Rhinolophus ferrumequinum: one gene and its partners. The protein of the gene in region 1 interacts with the protein of each later gene in a pairwise test. Links are inferred from orthologs where the notes say so. Each region holds a gene or a part of one and is shown in the gene's direction. Other genes may lie near its edges. The genes, in order: RALGDS, KRAS and RAP1B.

Region 1 (3,746 bases):
TCTGTGAGCGCTTCCTCCCCAGCCCTCAGCAGCCTCACTGGCACCCTCACCGGTGCCCTGAGACCTTGAGTGCTCAAGCCAGCGGTCCCCCCAACCAGGACAGTGGCAGGTGCTCCAGCTGGCATTTGCCTTCTTGATCCCTTACTCTTGAATGTCTATAGGCCCCAACCCCTATATGACTGGTCTCGGTTTTGCCCTCACCTCCCTGGCTGTAGGGCAGAAAGGAGATAGTACAGGCAAAGGCCCGTCCCCACACCACACACACCCCAACACTCAGGCCTTCCAAATGCACACGTGCACCGAAGTCACTGTTCCAGGACTCAGGAGAGTGTAGCAAGGCACAGGCACCAGCCGAGTGCTACACATCAGTAACCCAATGTGGCCCTCTCGGATGAAGAAACTGAGGCTCAGAGAGGTTAAGCAACTTGTACAACGCCACAGTGCTAGGGAGGGGCTTACCTGGAATTCGTGGGAGGTTGATCTGACTCCAGGGCCACCTGACCACACGTACACAAGTCACATACACAACACATACGCTGCCCCAGCGCACGCACCCACACAAGGTGCATAACCGCGGTACCCATAGTCCCCCCCCCCCCCCCCACACACACACACACACCACACACCACACACCACACACACCACACACGCTCTATAGGACACAGCCAGCAGGCTCGCGGGGGCGCCCACGCTCCCACAACACGCCCCCGGCATCTCCGGCCCCACCCCTTCACGCCGCCGGCCCCGCCTCCGAGGCGCCGGCCCCGCCCCCGGCCTGACCTCAGCGGGGCCGGGCGGCGGGCGCAGAGCGCAGGCAGCGCCGAGCCGCGCGGGCCTCTGCTGCCCGCGCCGCCTCGGGTCCCGCGGCCCGGCCGGCCGCCGGCGCCGCTGCGAGCCGTCCATGGTGCAGCGTATGTGGGCCGAGGCGGCCGGGCCTGCGGGCGGCGCCGAGCCGCTGTTTCCGGGCTCCCGGCGGAGCCGCAGCGTGTGGGACGCCGTGCGCCTGGAGGTGGGCGGCCCCGCCAGCTGCCCGGTGGTGCTGCACAGCTTCACGCAGCTCGACCCCGACTTGCCCCGCCTGGAGGTGAGTGAGCCAGGTCGGCCTGACCCCGCGGCCCAGCGTCCTGATCGTTTGGGGGGAGGGTCCTTCCGCAGAAATCCCCCTCGCTGTAACCTTACGGCAGCAGGTGGGCGTGGGGGCCGCCGGCACAGCGGGTGCAACAATGTAGGGACCAGAACCGGGTCTTTGTGACCCTATTTATCCGTCCCAATGCCTACCCTCACCGATCCCAGGTGTGCTGGCCTCGTGCCCCTGCAGCCCAGGTAGACCTGTTTCCGCGGGCTGTCACTGTCTGTTTAGGGCTGTGAACTTCCCGACATTAGGGGCTGGGCCATATTTCATCTCCATTGCCAGTCCCAGCCTGCACGGGCAGTTAGGCTTCGCAATCAGGTGGCGAACTGGTAGGGTGGCAGAGTCCTAGAATCCTCAGAGGGCTGGGGACCACAGTGGCCTTCCAGACGGCTCCACTTTGGGGTCAGACTCGGACTGGATGTTCAGGGCTGTTCAGAGGAGGTGGGTTGGAGGCGGAGCAGGCCTCCAACCTGTGGGGCCAGGTGTCCAGGCTGGAAGGTTGGGACAAGGCCCTCTCATGTCTGGATGGGGTGACTGACTCATTTCTGCTTGATTAGAAAATGAATTTGTAAGGATTTGGGAGGATTCAGAGAAGGGGGGATGTGTCTGTCACTAATGGAGGTGGGGGTAACTAGATGAGGGCTGGGACTCTTTCTAGTGTGCTCTGCACAGTGAAGCCCAGTGGGTCATGGGGGCAGGCAGGTGGGGCCGGGAGTGGTGCCTTCCTCCTCCTGCCTGACTGTGCACCTGACTTCAGAGGTAGCAGATGCAGGATGGACCCTGTCACCCTGCCCTGCCTGGGCATGGGGCCTGGACAGGCCAGCCCCGGGTTGGGGGCTCAGCAGGTCAAGGCCGAGCCAGAGCCTTAACAGTGAAGTTCCTGAGCCCCCGTGCTGGTTAGGGCCCCTTTGGTGTCCCCCCCCAGCCCTTCACTTTAGGCCCCCATGTGTTGTACTTGCCAGCAATTTTCAGCCTGGTTTTGTGCCTCTGCATGTCCCTAGGGCCTGGATGCATATTTGCCCAAGGATAAAGTGTGTCTCCCTGCCCAGCGTGGGGCCAAGGCAAGGGGTTGGAGGGCGCTCTTGGTGAGGGAACTGCAGGACTGGGAGACCCTTTTCTCCTGAGCTGGGCGGGTGGCCAAGCCCCGCGTGTTCCCGGACCCTCATCCACCCACTGCTCTGGCTTTCATTGGCAGCTGGAGCAGACCCCTGGGAGGCCTGACACCAGCCTAGTACTCATCTGACTTTCATTATGTCTGGCAGCCAGTCGGGCTTTGTGTGTTGGGAGGGTCCGGCCTACACGCTCACAGGGGCCGGGCAGGTTCCTGGCCAGGGTGGGGTGAGCTGTTTGGCTCACTTCTCTCCCTCCCCCCCACCTCTCTGTCCATCTGTCCATCCCTGGGGACCTGAGGGAGAGCCCTACCCTTGCCCAGGGGTCGCCTTCTCTCTCCTTCCCCTCCCCCCGCACCCTCCTGCTGCTCTCCCTCACCCGGCCTCTGCACTAGATCCAGGCCATGGCCACTGTTTAGAAATCAAAGGGGAAGCTTCTGGCTGGGGCAGGAAAATCAGGGTCCTGGCAGAAGAGGAGGCCAGTGCCGGAAATCAAACACAATGACCATTTACTATGGGCCGGGGGAGGAGGGCAGGGGGGCGGGGAAGTCCCTGTCCCTCCTGCCAACACCTCCCCCACCCCCCCCACCCTCAATCCTGGGGCTGATTTCCTGGTCGCTGTAGCGTGCCAGAGCTGAAGCAGCTCTGCTTGTGGTCCCTGTCCTCTCTGGAAACCACCAGGCAGTTACTGCCTTCTCTCCCCTGTTCCCCATTTTCCTTCCAATCCTCTCTGGGCTGCCAGATGTCCTTGCACATCTGGGCATCCACTCCTGTCATCTTGATTCTAAGCCAAGCCACCACTAACCCAGCTTGGCCTGTGCAGTTCTGTGCTTTCTGGCGGTCACCTGGCCCATGCCCCCATCTCTAGACTGGCCACTGCCTTGACCAGGCAGTTCCCAAGTCTGTAGCACCTAATTTTGGACACCACCAAATAATTTGCGGACACCACCACCTCATTCCAACTGGCTTTGACCAACCCTCCAGAGTGGGTGCCAACCCCCTTTATAGGAGACTGGAGCTCCGAGAAGTGAAGTCTCTGATCTAAATGTATGCACAGCCAAGGACACAGGATTGGGAGGATTTGAACATGGGCTGTGTTCTCTGTTAGGCGCCTGCTGTGTGCAAGAGCCCACAGGAATCAGAGAAAGATCACTATTGGGGTAATTTTAGGTTCACCAGAGGACTGTGGAGCTCTGGGGGGCACAGAACCAGGCCCAGGCAGCCCAGAAGCCCCCGGTCAAGTGAGGGGTTGGGATGCTTATAGACCAGAGGAAGACAAAGTGCCTTGGGCTAGAGGACACTGGGGAGAGCTTCCAGGAAGAAGCAAGTCCACAGCTGGACCCCAGCGGTTTACAATAATAGCTCACATGAGCCAGCACTTTGTGGGAGGCCTTGTTCTAAGTAATTTGCATGCATTATGTCCTTTTGTGGTCAGGACTATCAATAGCCCATTTGACAGATAAAGCAACTGAGGCACGAGAGTTAATTAGATTGTATCACCTCAC
Region 2 (3,746 bases), on another chromosome or scaffold:
ACATCTGAAGAAAGATTTATAAGTAGCAGTCAGAGGAAGTGTTGTGGATTTATAGTGGACGTGTGTTCCACGGTGTTCCACTTCCTCTCTTGTACCTGCTACCAATTGCTACAACAGGGCCAGGGCAACAGGAACAAATCCTGCAGATTACAGCCCACATATGGGGCAGGAAGAAAGGGTGACAGTTGGTGAAAGGCCTAGGTTAACAGATACAATAGTTGGGATTTAAAATAATTGTTGTATTCGTGTGGACAATTTACCTTTCTAGGTAGCGTATCCACGCAGACTCTGGCTATACTAGATTTAATTCTCATTGTTTGATGTGTTCACTCTCTGAATGTTAACTGGTTAATCTCAATCTTCTAATTAATGTTTGAATGATTTTCCTCAGGTCTAAACTATCAAGGGCATTTGTACTTATTAACTTGGGTTCTGCTGGTGCCATCAGGGGCAATGAATACATTTGAGGTCCCTGTTCAGAGTCACCTGTGACCGTTTCAAAATATCCATTAGAAACAACCACCCAAAACAACAGACCCCTTCCCACATAAGATTAAAGACGAAAGGGTCTGTCAGGTTTGTTTGGGCCTGGGGCTAGGTTCCCCCCCCTCGACCGTCGAGGCTGGTAATAATCAACCTTGATCCGGAAGCCCCAGGGTGGAGCACTGCCTGCCACGTCTCCCCCTCCCACATTTGGTGACTGCATGTTTATTTACATGGAATAAATTATAGTAAATGAAAGTCACAACTGTAGGCCGACCCCGAGGGGTGGCGGGATTTTCGCAGCTTCTCTGTGTAGAACCGAGAGGGGTGCGGCAAAGTCGCTTATGGTTGTCTCTCCGGGGGGGGGGGGTGTGTGCGTGTGTGCGTGTGTGTGTGTGTGTGTGTGTGTGTGTGTGTGTGTGCGCGTGTGTGTGTGTGTGGCCCACCGAGGGTCCGTCCGGTTCCGAATCTGCGGCTGCGGGTTCCGCTCCGCTGCTAGAACCGAGGGGCGGGCGGCCGCTTGGGTCCAGCAATGGCCCCCGCCGAGGCGCCGCCCAGACCCTCCAGCTCCACCTGTCCGGCTCCCTCTCCCTCCGCCACTCTAGCCACGGCTTTCTTCAGTCGGCCCTCGCTCCTCCTCCGCTGGCCTGTCCCCCTCCCCCGGAAAGGCCCGGCCCCCTCCTCCACCCCGGCGGCGCTCGTCGGCCCTCTCTTCCCTCTTCCCTTACCGCCCTCCGCCGCTCCCTCCCCGCACACCCGTCTGGAGAGGAATCGAGCACCGAGCGCGTCGATAGCTCTGCCCTCTGCGGCCGCCCGGCCCCGAACTCATCGGTGTGCTCGGAGCTCGATTTCCCTAGGCGGCGGCCGCGGCAGCGGAGGCACAGCGGCGGCGGTAGCGGCGGCGGTGGCGGCGGTGGCGGCTACTCGGCCAGTACTCTCGGCCCCCGCCATTTCGGACGGGGAGCGAGCGCGGTGCAGGCACTGAAGGCGGCGGCGGGGGCCAGAGGCTTGGCGGCTCCCAGGTGCGGGAGAGAGGTACGGAGCAGACCACCCCTCTTGGGCCCCTGCCCTGGTCCCGACCCTTCTCGCCCGCGCCGGGCGGGGCCGGCGGCGAGTGAATGAATTAGGGGTCCCGGGAGGGGCGGGAAGGGGGCGCGGGCGTGGAGCCGGGGAGAGCGAGCTGGCGGACGCTGTGGGGGTGGTCTGCAGCGAGAGGCGTGGGGACACGGCGACGCGGGCAATGGGGAATAGGCGGTGCGGGGCTGAGGAGGGTGAGGCTAGAGGCGGCCGCCGCTTGTGCTGCTTCCTGGACGGGGAACCCCTTCCTTCCTCCTCCCCTAGAGCTGCGACTGGAGGCGGCCGGGGAGAAACTCGCCGGCCGGGCGGGCTGCCCCTCCGGGCGGTCGGGTGCGGTGGAGGTTACTCCCGTTGCGCTCCAGTCTCCCTTCCCCCTTGTCTCTCTCTTTCTTTTTCTTTTTCTCCCCCCCCACCTCCCTCTCTCCCTTCGCTCCCGCACCTCTTCCTCCCTTTCCAGCACTCGGCTTGCCTCGGCTGCTGCCTTCCCTGCTGCATCTAGCATCTCTAGGACCAAGGAATAAACTTCTCCCTCGAGCGCAGACGGGACGGATAGTGGTCCTTTTCAGTGTGTAGGGGGATAAATGAGTAAGGGGGGAGGTCACGTTTTGGAAGAGTATAGGCAGGTGCTTCGGGACCACTGTTTGAGGTTATTGTGTTTGGGGGAAAAAATGCATCTGCAGCCGAGTTACTGACTGCTCCCCTCCCCCATGTATGGGCTGTGACATTGCTGTGGCCACAAAGGAGGAGGTGGAGGTAGAGATGGAAGAACAGGTGGCCAACACCCTACAACATAAAGCCTGTGACTTAGTGAAAAGAAAAAAGTGAATCCCAGGAGGTCTCCTTTGCTTTGTCAAGTTCAAACACACGCAGAAAACCCGCAGAGCAGAAGCAGGGGCTTTTCTCTTGCTAGTTGAGTAGGCTTTTCTCTTGCTTTTTGAGTGTAGACAGTAATAGCCAAAATCATACTTGAAGTTTAATTTGCTTGTTCTTGTCCTTTCTTTTTCCAGGGTAATCTCTTCTGTATGACCCTGATCCTAACAAATTTGACATCCATCCCAAGAGTTATTACAGTTCTCTTAAACAGCACTCACACAATTTCTTGTCACTTATTTACAAGAGGAGTTAATTGTAGCAATCTGCCAGCCAACTGCTTGAAATAGCTAGCTGGCTTTCTTAAATCTTGATATCTATGAAAACCAGAGGCTAAGGTATTTTATAATTTTAAGGTATTTTATGATTATAAAGGTATTTTATAATTTTTTACACAGTATACATGTTGCATTTGTAATGGAAAATCATTTACAAAGAAATTACAAAGGCAAAAATATCTGTTCATAAATCATCAGAATCAACCGTATGAGTGATGTCACTCTTACGTGACTAATGTCCAAAATGCTGACTTGATCATGTAACAGACTATAGACATCAAATATGGTATCAGAACTGCTTGCTTAAAGATGGTAGATGAGATGATGATTCAGTTCTATGACAAATAAAAGTGAATTTGTTTTTCCTTACCTAAACGTTGGGTTGTAGCTTTTGTAGTTTTGGGTGAGGAAGCTCCTTCTGGCATTTCATCTTCAGTGAGACTACCTGGGAACCCAGTTGTCTGTAGTGGACTTAAATGTTACTTGATTTTTAAAATTCAATTCAAGGATTTTTTTCAGAAACTACCACTGGATAACACATAGACCAGATGGTGTGTCTGCCTCAGAGTTCACACATGTATATACAACTAAGCTCTAATCCAATATCTGTCCACAGGATCTCCTAGGCTAGCAAACTTTTTGGTTTGTAAGGACCCCTTTACACTCTTAAAAATTACTGAAGATCCCAATATGGGGTATGTCAATATTTACTATCATAGAAATGAAAACTGAGAAGTTTAAACATTAATTCATTTAAAATAGAAATAATTAGCCCATTACTTGGTAACACAAATAGCATTTTTTTATGAAAAATAACTTTTTCAAAATAAAAACCAAAAGTAGTTAGAAGAGTGGTATTGTTTCAGACTTTTGCAAATCTCCTTAATTATATGGATTAGTAGAAGGCATCTGGATTCCTATCTCTGCTTCTGTATTCAGTGTACTGTGATCACACATCTGGAAGACTATAAACTTGTGCAAGAGCAAGAGTGGAAATGGTAATTAGCATTGTAGTATTATTTTGATAAAAATTTTGAC
Region 3 (3,746 bases), on another chromosome or scaffold:
AACAGTACACCCAGGTAATATCTGCTTCCATGAACTCAGAGTTTCAGGCTTTCAGAATTCTCACAGTTTCACGCAATAATTGTAAAGTCAGTAAAGTTAAATTTATTTGAAATTCATTCATTCAGAATTCAATGACTCCCCGCCCCAAACCCCTACTTTACCCTGCACTTTGCTCTCTTTGAACCTCTCGCCCATCAAAACTTCGGTTCATAAAAAAGCCGATGTCTTGTAGGAAGGGTAGGTGTAGTTCAGTCTTTTCCCTAATAATGGTTAAGTTCCCGCACTTTTTGGAACCGAAAGTGCTTTCTGTTGCCCACCAGTCACATCATAAACCTACCTATGAGTAACCCTTTAAAGTGCCCGAGTCATGCATTTAAATAGGCGATTTATTTTATTCATATAAACGGTTGATTTAGGCTCAGAGTACAAAATTGTTTGGGATCATCGATTTGTTAACTGACTTTGGCAAAGTAAATTGGAAAGAGTTCACCCGGGTTAACACACCAGAGGATGAAATACTTGTCAATTCAAGAAAAAAACCTTCACGAGGCTCTAGGTGTGGACACTGCGCGCTGGGTTACTTCTCCAGCCACTTTCCCCAGCACAAAGGAATACGCAGTCACCAACTGTTTGGTGGCGTTAGTGACTGAATTCCAGTTTGCCTTAAAGACACCTTTTGAGTTTCGGAGGGTTTCTAAGCCCTTCACAATAGTGTAACCCGCTGACGTCCGGGAAGCCAACACGCGGATCCTCCCGGAGCCAGAGGGCCGAGGCCAGTTTGAAGGGGCGGTGGGGGCCGGAGAGAAACACCGCGGAGGAAACACCGTGAAGGGTACCGCGCGTGTCCGGCCGCCGCCGCGAAGGCGCGGAAGGCCCCGCCCCTCGGCTCCCCTCGCTCCGCCCCGCGGCCCCGCCCCTTCCCGGGCCTCGTACCCGCGCACCCCGCCCGCGGGCGGAAGCGAGAGCGAGGCTGAACGCCTGACGTCAAGGCGACACCGCCAAACCTCGCCCAGAGTCAGGCGTGTAAACCAGCCGGAGAGGCGGCGGCGGCGGCAGCGGCAGGACCGCCGTGGCGCCGGGACCAGCGACCCGGAGGAAGCGCGAGGCGCGGGGCGACGCTGGCTGCGGGGACTCGGTGACAGCGTGAGAGGTTCGCAGAGTGCGTGCGTGGCCGATGAAGGGAGCGGCGGCAGCGGCCGCGGCCGCGCGGGGCGGGGGCCCGGCGCCGGCTCAGAGGAGCGGGTGGGGTGCGGCGCGGGCCGGGCGGGGCGCGCGCGGCGGTCAGGGGCCCCGGCGGCGGCGGTCTCGGAGCGCGGCAGGTGGTGCGAGGGACCGGCGCCGGGCCGGCGAGCGCGCTGCCTCCCGGGCCGGCGGGGGCGAGCTGCTGCCGCCGCCGCCGCCGCCGCCGCGGGGAAACAGCGCGCTTTGCGGAAGGGGTCAAATGTCTGAAATATGGCGGAGGAAGTGAGAGCCCGAGGACCCCCCCCAGCACCACTCCTTTCTGCCCGCGGCCGCCTTAACCTCTCTCCTTGCCTGTAGTCCCCCGTCCCGGAGCCCCCTCGCTGGCCGCCTCGGTTCTCTTCCTGGTGTGGGTGGAAGTTAGAACGGAAACCAGAAAGTTGTCTTTTGCAAAGACCCAGCTTCCCCCAGCCCCGAGCCTGGGCGAGTGGCGTTCGGGGGAAACCACTCCCCGGCGCCCTGCAGGCTCGAGCCTGACAAGGAAAAAGTTTGCCTGAAACGGGGCTGGTTTGCTCCATTTGTTGAGGGAAGTGGCAGGAGGACGGCCGCGGAGGGAGCCCCACCTAGTCTGGCAGCAACCACTGCGTAGGGAAAAACTGTTAAAGGGGCCTTTCCCCTTCGTCAGCAAGAGGAAATCTTTTACAGAAGGAGAGAAAACCCAGGAAGTTTGTACTCTTCTCTTTTTCGCCATCTCGATTCTGTCCAATCCTAAAACTGACTGTCAGCGCCATGAATTTTATTTAAACCTACCTCCAGTGAACCGGAGCATCCGATTTTTCTTCTGAAAAAACTGAGGGCTTTTGGAGAAAAGATCATCCTTGCAGGTTTAAGCAGATTTGCTTTCCCTTCGCCTGCTCCCCCCCCCCCCAATCCTCTTTATTAGTTTAGAAAACCATTTTTGCCCTGCTACTCCTGTTTCGTATGAACATCAGCAGTTTTGGATTACAGTAACGGGAAGTCACGTTTTTCACGGGGTAGAAAGTTGACACTACATGAAGATTGTGATTTTTAATATTTTAAAATTATTTCAGTCTAATTGGATTTTTGTTTGATAATAGCATGTAATATATATCGAGTGCTGGTAACTTAAAGCTTCTAACTTGTAAATTCATTAACTCTCTTTTTTTGTAATTAGAATGCTGTTTGGACTTGCTCAACAAAACCTTATCTTAGCAAGAAGTAACTTATAAAAAAGGAAGACGTTCATTTAACTTCTAGTTCGTATCACTCCCAAAAGCTGACTCTTAAGTAGTATTTGAGTCATAATGGAGTCATGGGACTTTTTTAAGGCCCATAAAGGACTAATTTATTTAGATCATCCAGTCCCACCCTCTCATTTTATGAGGAGGAAACTGAGGCCTAGAAAAGATAACTAATTAGTAATCCTGCTGACTTTTAGGACTATCCTATAATAGGGTCCCTAGAGGAAGAAAGATGACATTTTTATAGTGAGTTACATTTTACAGAGGCTGATATTCCCATCATACCAGGAAAAAAAGGTGGATACCTTAGTGGAACTGGAAGTTTAGGTACTTTATTCCCAGGTGTTAGGAGAGGAGATTGATACTCAGGAAATTAAATAAAGTTAAGACACAGAGCCCTCAGTGATAATTTTATTTGAGCCCATCTCTGCACTACACAGTGTTTTTACTTGCATTTCCTTGTTTGGCATTCACAATAAATTGTGAGGCTGTCTTATCTGAGGAATCCCCAAAGTAAATCTTTGAAATACATATAGGCAGTTTGGTTTTTGTTTTTTTTGTTTTTTGGCAGTTTGGTTTTTAAGGTGCCAGGTACCAGGATACAACTGAGGAGCCCAGTAATAAATTGGCATAATTTTAAAATGTGGTGTAGGGCAAGAAAATGAATACTCTTCGTGTCTTTTGCCTTCCCCCTACCCCATGAAAGTCATCGCTCTTCCTGTCTATGACACATATCACTTCCTATCTTCTGTTGTCTTTATATGTATCTTTGTTATGTATCTATTCCACTAAATTGTGAACTCTAAAGACAGGATGTGTTCTTTGTATGCCCCAAAGCACTGGCATGGTACCTTGCACATAGACAATCCCAGTTAAGTGGAAGCACCATGAGGGTAGGAACTTTGTTTCATTCTCCACTGTATTCTTAGTTCCTAGAAACTTGCCTGTGTGTATAGTGTTTAGCATTTAGATTTAGGGATTAACTGTAATGAACATTTAAAGAGAGGATATTTGAAGAGAACTTTGTATCCCTTCAAAAAGAAACATTTCCACATTGGCTTTGGAATCTAACTTTACTAATTGATTTCCATTTTATCTTCAAAACAATCCTTTACTATAGAATTTCAATATTTTCTCTTAGCTGTATAAAGGGAAGATGAGCACCCATGGTAAGAAGCCACCCACCATGTAAGGAGGGCCTAGTCAAGTGTGATAGAGAATTGATCCACATACATAAGGATATTACCAAGTGTAATTTCCAATGTATTTTGGTAGAAGGCCTGTTATGCAGAGGTTGATAACATG

Evidence for each region.
Region 2: the proteins of RALGDS (region 1) and KRAS interact in a two-hybrid assay, tested with the Homo sapiens proteins (3 studies listed by BioGRID and IntAct). The link is inferred for Rhinolophus ferrumequinum from reciprocal best matches to the Homo sapiens genes RALGDS and KRAS.
Region 3: the proteins of RALGDS (region 1) and RAP1B interact in binary tests that used the Homo sapiens proteins (3 or more experiments, as listed by UniProt). The link is inferred for Rhinolophus ferrumequinum from reciprocal best matches to the Homo sapiens genes RALGDS and RAP1B.

Annotation. Positions count from the first base shown.
Region 1 is NC_046295.1:80,657,789-80,661,534, reverse strand, and holds the start of RALGDS (ral guanine nucleotide dissociation stimulator), read left to right. Parts: upstream 1-854; 5' UTR 855-901; coding exon 902-1,084; intron 1,085-3,746. UniProt on the Homo sapiens protein: Functions as a guanine nucleotide exchange factor (GEF) activating either RalA or RalB GTPases and plays an important role in intracellular transport. Interacts and acts as an effector molecule for R-Ras, H-Ras, K-Ras, and Rap.
Region 2 is NC_046293.1:36,539,288-36,543,033, reverse strand, and holds the start of KRAS (GTPase KRas), read left to right. Parts: upstream 1-1,386; 5' UTR 1,387-1,518; intron 1,519-3,746. UniProt on the Homo sapiens protein: Ras proteins bind GDP/GTP and possess intrinsic GTPase activity. Plays an important role in the regulation of cell proliferation.
Region 3 is NC_046293.1:64,832,823-64,836,568, forward strand, and holds the start of RAP1B (ras-related protein Rap-1b), read left to right. Parts: upstream 1-967; 5' UTR 968-1,150; intron 1,151-3,746. UniProt on the Homo sapiens protein: GTP-binding protein that possesses intrinsic GTPase activity. Contributes to the polarizing activity of KRIT1 and CDH5 in the establishment and maintenance of correct endothelial cell polarity and vascular lumen.